2 linked regions of the Cricetulus griseus genome follow. The protein of the gene in region 1 interacts with the protein of each later gene in a pairwise test. Links are inferred from orthologs where the notes say so. Each region holds a gene or a part of one and is shown on either strand. Other genes may lie near its edges.

Region 1 (4,414 bases):
TTTCCATTACAATACTTATGTAGCCATTTCAACCTAAAACTTTAATTAAATGTTTTCCTTTAAGAATTTTCAAAAACTAAAGCCTCCCTCCCTAAGTTCTTCAAAATATCAAGTGAAGGGATCTAAAAGAGCAAGAAAAATGCCAAACTAGAGGGGAACAAGAAAACATGCTTTCGTTAAGGTGATGTAGGGAATGATTGCCTCCACTATAGGAGTCATTGTAGATAAAATATGCACCCCTACAATTCCCTCTGAAGGCAAGATGCCTCTCTTTCAAGGAATCTCTCCATTTACTTGATCCAGGTTTGGTCCATGGATTTAACCTCCCGACTCCCGCGCTCCCCACTGGAGTCCAGCCTCTGCCGCTTGGAGAAGGCCGGCCTATCGCGCGCTTGGAGCTCATTGGCTCTGAGAGACGCCACTCGGGCGGGAAAAGCCCGCCTCCCGCATTCGGATGGCCCAAGGGCCGATCCGTAGGCAGCTATAGGAAGACCCAATTGGCCTATACACTCGTCAGTCAAACGCTCTGGTAGCGCAGCCCAAAAGGACCTGGCAGAATTAAAACATCCCGCCCCCGTTCTCCCATTGGCTGGCCCGACCCATCGCGGCCCCTTCACTGTCGCTCCCCCAAGTCCAGCGGGGCCCATTCATTTCGTACAATAACGAGTCCAATTGGAGCGGGTCCAGGAACTCCCACGGTTAGTCAAGACTCTGCCACTTACCCGGGATCTACAGTGACCACTCACACTAAGGCCTGCGCGGTTCCTCTGTGGTAAAGCTGCACCACAAGCCACCCGCTACCGCCGCCTTCTGCGCAACGCCAGCCGCCCGCCAAAACGGATCCTTTCCCTGCGCCTGCGCAACCAATCCTGGGCCCAGACCTTTTCTCCGCCCAAAACGCCTGCGCAAAGCAGGACGCAGCTCCCGCCAGTACGCAGGCGCCTTAGGTTCACCGCCCTCTCCCGCCCGCCGCCCGCCATTTCACGTGTTCAGTAGGCGAGCGGAACTCCTTAGTGCGCCGGCGTAAACTCGCCATTTTTATTACACATGCGCTCTCCGGGCAGTGGCTGCAAAAGTGGTAGCGAACTACTTTTCCTAACGTGTCGTGTTTTGCCAAGTGAGGTTATAATGTTCGGACGCTGGGAAGTTATGCAAGGCGTTTAAAGACATGGGTACATTCAAATATAAACCACTGGTTAGCTAGTCAATCAACCTGGTTAAAAAAAAAATCCCCCAGAGCGTCGATGACTCCGAAGGGCGGAGACTGCGTAGAACGCCCCAGCAGATGCCATCTCTTAGCAGGGCGGATCCACAGACCTAGAGTGGGCGGGAACAATTCCAGATCTCCAATCAGAGTAAGGCCAGGGCGGAGTCTACCAATGCCGAAAGCGAGGAGGCGGGATAAAAAGGCGAGCCGAAGGTAGGCTGGCGGATACGTTCGTTGACTTACTCCTTTCTGCCTGTTGACGCGGCGGAGGAAGCATCGCTGAAGGCTCTCGTTTCCCTGCCGTCATGTCTAAGTCGGAGGTGAGTTGTGCGCGCTCTGCGGCTTCGTTTCCTTCCATACGCAATGAACAGGACGGGATGCGACCTATTTTTCTGGCTGGCACCCATGCTTTCGGTGTTTGATCGGTCGTTGCCGAGGCCTGCTCACAAAGTGCAGGTCGCCATTTTGTCCTCGTAGTCGCCATGAGGCTGCCGTCCGCTAACCGCTAGTTTCCACACTCGGCTCCTAGTGGCAGAATTCACAGATATGCGACCTTGGGGGTTGTGGCTCTTTTTATTTTCTTTCTTGGCTTTGCCTAACTAACGTCTGCTAAGGCTTCAGTAAGTTTTAATGGCGATTGACCAGTCCAGCCCGTGTCTTTTGTTGCGCGTGCGTATAGAGTAGGGACGCATGCGCTGCATGCTAGTCCTCCCCCCCACGCCCCAACAGCACCTCCTGGCCCAGAGAGGAGCACGTGGTCTTGTGCTGTAATAAAGAACAATAAAAAAGTGCGGCCTATGTTGATGCGTGGAGTTGATCCATTCGCTCAAGTTCCAGCCCCTTAGCTAACGGCTCTCCTTTGATCCGATTCAGTCACCCAAGGAGCCGGAACAGCTGCGGAAGCTCTTCATTGGAGGGCTGAGCTTCGAAACAACCGACGAGAGTCTGAGAAGCCATTTTGAGCAATGGGGAACACTCACCGACTGTGTGGTAAGATTAGAAGGAACAAAAGGCGGGGCTGGTTTAATTTTATTGCTTTAATCATGCCGCACTTCTTACCCAGATGCTTTGTGAAGGTAATTAATGGTATAATTTTAAAAGGATCTTTGTTTGGGGGCCTTATGCTTGAGTCTAAATGGAGTTTTATGCTGGACATGTTCAGAGTTGGAATGGCCTCAGGTCCTGATATCAGGCAATATGTTGATTGAATTAACTCTATAAACAGGTAATGAGAGATCCAAATACGAAGCGATCCAGGGGCTTTGGTTTTGTCACGTACGCTACTGTGGAAGAAGTAGATGCCGCTATGAATGCAAGGCCACACAAGGTGGATGGCAGAGTTGTGGAACCTAAGAGAGCTGTTTCAAGAGAAGTGAGTGTTATTATGCTAATAGTTGGGTTCTCTTTTATCTAGACGCCAGATAGACCCCTAGAGTGCTGGGATTAAAGGCGTGGGCCACCACAGCTGCCAATCATTTGAAATGTACTAATAATGACTGCATCATTTTCCTTTTAGGATTCTCAAAGACCAGGGGCCCACTTAACTGTGAAAAAGATCTTTGTTGGTGGTATTAAAGAGGACACTGAAGAACATCACCTTCGTGATTATTTTGAGCAGTATGGGAAGATTGAAGTGATTGAAATCATGACGGACAGAGGCAGTGGGAAAAAAAGAGGGTTTGCTTTTGTCACCTTTGATGACCATGACTCTGTGGACAAGATTGTTAGTAAGTGTCAGATAATTAGATTTCTCTCCTCCTCCTCCCTCCCCCACAAACTGGGAATATTCTGTAGCTTTGGGTCCTTTCCTGGAAATGAGACCCGCCCTCAAACTCAGATGGCCTGTCTCTGCCTCCTGAATGCTGGGATTTATGGGGTGTTCCACCCCCCAGCCAGATTACATTTTTCTTTTGGGTGGATTCGAGACAGGGTTTCTCTGGCTTTAAAGGCTGTCCTGGAACTAGCTCATGTAGACCAGGCTGGTCTGAAGCTCAGAGATCTGCCTGCCTCTGCCTCCTGAGTGCTGGGATTAAAGGCGTGGGCCACCAACACCCATCGTGCTCAGATTTCTTAATGACTGGGACTCAGTGTGTTTAAAGCCCTAAAGTTAACTTTTTTTTTTTAAGTTCAGAAATACCATACTGTGAATGGCCACAACTGTGAAGTGAGAAAAGCCCTGTCAAAGCAAGAGATGGCCAGTGCTTCATCCAGCCAAAGAGGTATCTCTTGCTTAGTTAGAACTTGCAGAGGGTAGTTGGGTTGTTGCTGCAAGTTGGTCTAATGTAATGATCCAAACATCTCTTAAGGTCGAAGTGGTTCCGGAAACTTTGGTGGTGGTCGTGGAGGTGGTTTTGGCGGCAATGACAACTTTGGTCGAGGGGGAAACTTCAGTGGTCGAGGTGTGTACCTTTTGGATTTCTTAATTGCTTTTGGAACGATGGATAACTGCTAGTCTTTGTTTATAGCATTTAGATTTTACCCAAAACATAAGTTTTCGTTACACAGAGATTAGCATTTGCTTCATTCATATACCTAAAGCTCTGGTTTCTTACAGGTGGCTTCGGTGGTAGCCGTGGTGGTGGTGGATATGGTGGCAGTGGGGATGGCTATAATGGATTTGGTAATGACGGTAAGTTTCTTAAGGAATCCGTAAGTAAAATTTCTAGCAACCTATACCTTTAGACTAGGCTAGTAGACACTAAACCTAGTGCATGACAAAATCAACCAGCCCCGTAATACGCATGCTGTGAGCAGGCCATTAGTCATTACACTTGCATAGATTTTTATTGTTAAATACTTTTGTCTTATTGAGAAGGCTTGTATTCTTGTAGGTGGTTATGGAGGAGGCGGCCCTGGTTACTCTGGAGGAAGCAGAGGCTATGGAAGTGGTGGACAGGGTTATGGAAACCAGGGCAGTGGCTATGGCGGGAGTGGCAGCTATGACAGCTATAACAACGGAGGAGGCGGAGGCGGCTTTGGCGGTGGTAGTGGTAGGTATCCAGTGATGCAAGTACTTGGTGTGATAGCTAGATTAGCCTTAGTTTATACTCCTGTGGACTTTAAAGCTCTTAAAGCATTGTGGGTACACTGCATGGTACATTGAAATAGGCTTGCTGTGCTACCTCCTCCTGGCTTTAAGCTGGGGCCGCCTCCCCCAAAGTAAGTAGGTGGATGAGTGAGTGGTTAGTGGTATCCTTAATAGCAGAT
Region 2 (3,784 bases), on another chromosome or scaffold:
ACATTTTTCTGGGGTAGTATTAAAGAATTGATAATTACCTAAATTTAACATGGAAACTACAGATTTGGGTGGGGAAATTAATGCTAATAGTTTAAATTAAACTTAGATTGTTTCCATTTCTTTGTAGGATGTCATTAAATTTTGTATAATCACCTGTTTTTCTTATGTACCTATCTTGTGCTAAAGGAAACAAATTAAAAATATATTCATAATTCAGTGTTTTCAAATTACTCATTTGTCTATGTAAAACTTAAATATTTAATTATTTAAGTTTGTAGGTGTAAAAATGTTACTTATGGTTTATTTAGGCAATTTAAATTGGGTTATGTACCTAGATATAGACAAACTTACTGCATTTTGCCCAGTATCTAATTTACTCTCTAATACATCTATGCTGAAACCTGTACTTTAAACCTTTTTAAATAGGTATATTGAGATCTTCAGGAGTAGCAGGAGTGAAATCAAAGGATTTTATGATCCACCAAGAAGATTGCTGGGACAGCGACCGGGACCATATGATAGACCAATAGGAGGAAGAGGGGGTTATTATGGAGCTGGGCGTGGAAGTATGTATGACAGAATGCGACGAGGAGGTGATGGATATGATGGTGGTATGTGTATCTAATGAACAAAAGGTTCTGTTGTCATTTTCTTGATGTTCCTGACATTTTGTCAAGAAATACAGAAATGGCAGTAATTTCAGTACCTATGAGGTTTTAAAACCTGTTCATGAAATTGTGGGATTTCCACTGTGGAACTTGATTGATGCACATATTAACACCTAGAAATAATGTAGAAATAAAGATAACTGGCATGTTTCTTCTGGGCATAAAGATGACATTTGGTTTTCATGTTGTGTTTGAATTTATTCTGTGGATGTTTACATTTCCATCAAGGGTTAACTGCTTTTCCTTTTCCCATTTGCAGTAAGTTGCAAACATTAATGAAGAAGCTAAAATAATTCACTACAAAATGATTTTTACAAATTGCTTTTTCCTTACATTTGCACAGGCTATGGAGGTTTTGATGACTATGGTGGCTATAATAATTATGGCTATGGAAATGATGGCTTTGATGACAGGATGAGAGATGGAAGAGGTAAACTAAGAATATCATGCCAAAGTAAATTTTACTGTTTCCTTTATAAGGTGCTGGTAGTAACTAGGCAACTTTGATGGGATAATGGAAACTTGTGTCATTGCGCTGGCTTGTTGATTTATATGTACTTATGTGAACCCACAATGGTTTATAATCTAGGCATGGGAGGACATGGCTATGGTGGAGCTGGTGATGCAAGTTCAGGTTTCCATGGTGGTCATTTTGTGCACATGAGAGGGCTGCCTTTTCGTGCAACAGAAAATGATATTGCTAATGTAAGTGGTATATAGTGGGTATTTTTTTATTATTATTATTATTGGCGGGGAGGTCTCACCGTAGCCCAAACGAGACTAGAATTTAGAAATTCTAACTTGACTTTAGGCATAAGGCAGCCACCATGCCTTACCTCTTTTATTTGTTAAGATTCAGGCTAAGATTGTCACTTAGTGATAGATTATTTGCCTAATATACACATAGGTGTTTGTGCCCATTATGTGAGATTTTAAGCAGGTTAAAAAAAAACAAAACAACAAAAAAACCACTCTGTTAAGAATAGAGTCAATCATGTAGGAGTTTGCCTTTAGTAGTAGGGTCTGCAACAATCCCAAACTTGAAGATACTCTTAACTAACCATACTCTGTCATGGAACTGTATTCCCAGTTTCACAGTTTTCATTTAGTTTAGTATTGCCTTACTTTATAAGCAGTAACTGCTTTGCATTTTAAAAAATGCACTCCTTCCCCATGTGAGCCAAGCAGACTGGACCATCTCTGTAGCAAAGGATGACTCAACCTACCTCCACAATACTGGAGCCCTTATAGACCCTCAGTAGTTTATTTTAGTGGAAAGATTAAAAGCATGTGCTAATTTTAAATGACTGGAATTTAAAAATGAGTAACTTTTATTTAGTTCTTCTCACCACTCAATCCAATACGAGTTCATATTGACATTGGAGCCGATGGCAGAGCAACAGGAGAGGCAGATGTAGAGTTTGTGACACATGAAGATGCAGTGGCTGCCATGTCTAAAGATAAAAACAACATGCGTAAGTGGTGTCTTTGGCCTGCTTCTGTTCATAGGTGTGTACAGTTTATACAGTAATTACTGGTTAAAATGTCTGTTAGATCATTTGACCTATTAATAATGTCTAGATTTTAATGGCTGCCTGAAATAGTCCTATATTTTATGGATAAGCCTTCGTTAAATACTAGCTAATCAACTTTGATTAGTACATTTTATCTTTCTCTATTATTCTTACCTTTTTCCACTTTTTTTTTTTTTTTTTTTTTTTTAAAGAACATCGATATATTGAACTCTTCTTGAATTCCACCCCTGGAGGTGGCTCTGGAATGGGAGGCTATGGCAGAGATGGAATGGGTATGTATAGTTTTGTATTGGAGGTGAGGTGGGGACATCTTGCTCTGTAGCCCACGTTGGCCTTGGTGCTTCAATATATCCCTCCCAAACCGGGGTTTATAAACTTTTTAGAATAAGCAGTGTTGGCTAGTTTGGAAACCATCCTGTCACTTTTTAATGTGCAGATAATCAAGGAGGATATGGATCTGTTGGGAGAATGGGAATGGGGAACAACTACAGTGGAGGATATGGCACTCCTGATGGCTTGGGAGGTTATGGTAAGTCTGTATGAGGCAATATCTTTCACTAAAAATACAAATAGTATGATGTGCATGGCCCTCTCCTGATTCATGTTCTTAATGTCTTCTTAAGGTCGTGGTGGTGGAGGTGGTGGTTACTATGGACAAGGTGGAATGAGTGGAGGTGGATGGCGTGGGATGTACTGAGACCACTTCCTCCAACGTACAAGTCCTAACAACATCTGACTTTCTTACAGATTGAATTTCTTTTGTATTTCAAGAACTTTATAATGACTGAAGGAATGTGTTTTCAAAATATTTGGTTAAAGCAACAGATTGTGATGGGAAAATCTGTTTTCTGTAGGTTTTATTTGTTGCATACTTTGACTTAAAATAAATTTTTATATTGAAACCACTGATGTTGCTACTTTTTATATATATAGGTACTCTTAAGGATGTGCTGCCTTCATAAGATTTGGGATGATGTATTTTACTGTTAGCTCTACAAAAAGTAGCATAGTGCAATGTTAGAGGATAAGACTACAAGTCTAAGCAGAGCTTGAGTAGTTAGCTAACTTTCTGTCCTGGACACTGTAAATAAAGTCTAAAGATGCATTCAGGTAGCTTCAGGAATTTAAGTTCAGCTAATTCTGTATTCCCTTTTCAGTCTCATTTATCAAGCATAGCTCTGAATAATTTAAGAGTCATCTGGATTCTAAATAGTCACAATTGTGTTATGAATTATGAACCCAAGGGGTTGGGGAGTATCAGTTGAAATTATAGCCCTAGATTTTAAAATCCTCATAGCACTTGACCAAGATACCAAAAATGTTCCCAAAATTTGAGTTTGTTGGAGTAGCTAAGTCAGTTGATGAAGTCAGAAAGAGCTTGGTTGTGTAAATACACGGGTGTTTACTATAATAAATGTGTTCTTGTGTTTTCACTTTCTCACCCAAGAAAAGTGTGTTTTTTAATTGTGTAAATGACTACATTTAGGAAAATGTGTAACAGTGCTGCAGCTGAATTTTGCATCTGATACTGGCATTGAGTAGTTACTCTTTGTGTAGCACGGACAAGGTGCTTCGATCAAT

The links.
Region 2: the proteins of Hnrnpa1 (region 1) and Hnrnph3 interact in binary tests that used the Homo sapiens proteins (3 or more experiments, as listed by UniProt). The link is inferred for Cricetulus griseus from reciprocal best matches to the Homo sapiens genes HNRNPA1 and HNRNPH3.

What each region holds. Positions count from the first base shown.
Region 1 is NC_048595.1:399,611,752-399,616,165, forward strand, and holds the start of Hnrnpa1 (heterogeneous nuclear ribonucleoprotein A1), read left to right. Parts: upstream 1-1,369; 5' UTR 1,370-1,512; coding exon 1,513-1,527; intron 1,528-2,080; coding exon 2,081-2,197; intron 2,198-2,432; coding exon 2,433-2,579; intron 2,580-2,723; coding exon 2,724-2,934; intron 2,935-3,333; coding exon 3,334-3,426; intron 3,427-3,513; coding exon 3,514-3,606; intron 3,607-3,761; coding exon 3,762-3,836; intron 3,837-4,038; coding exon 4,039-4,197; intron 4,198-4,414. UniProt on the Homo sapiens protein: Involved in the packaging of pre-mRNA into hnRNP particles, transport of poly(A) mRNA from the nucleus to the cytoplasm and modulation of splice site selection.
Region 2 is NW_023276806.1:273,847,000-273,850,783, forward strand, and holds the end of Hnrnph3 (heterogeneous nuclear ribonucleoprotein H3), read left to right. Parts: intron 1-426; coding exon 427-611; intron 612-1,011; coding exon 1,012-1,098; intron 1,099-1,257; coding exon 1,258-1,373; intron 1,374-2,007; coding exon 2,008-2,143; intron 2,144-2,368; exon of another isoform or gene 2,369-2,394; coding exon 2,395-2,475; exon of another isoform or gene 2,476-2,639; coding exon 2,640-2,732; exon of another isoform or gene 2,733-2,826; coding exon 2,827-2,900; 3' UTR 2,901-3,109; downstream 3,110-3,784.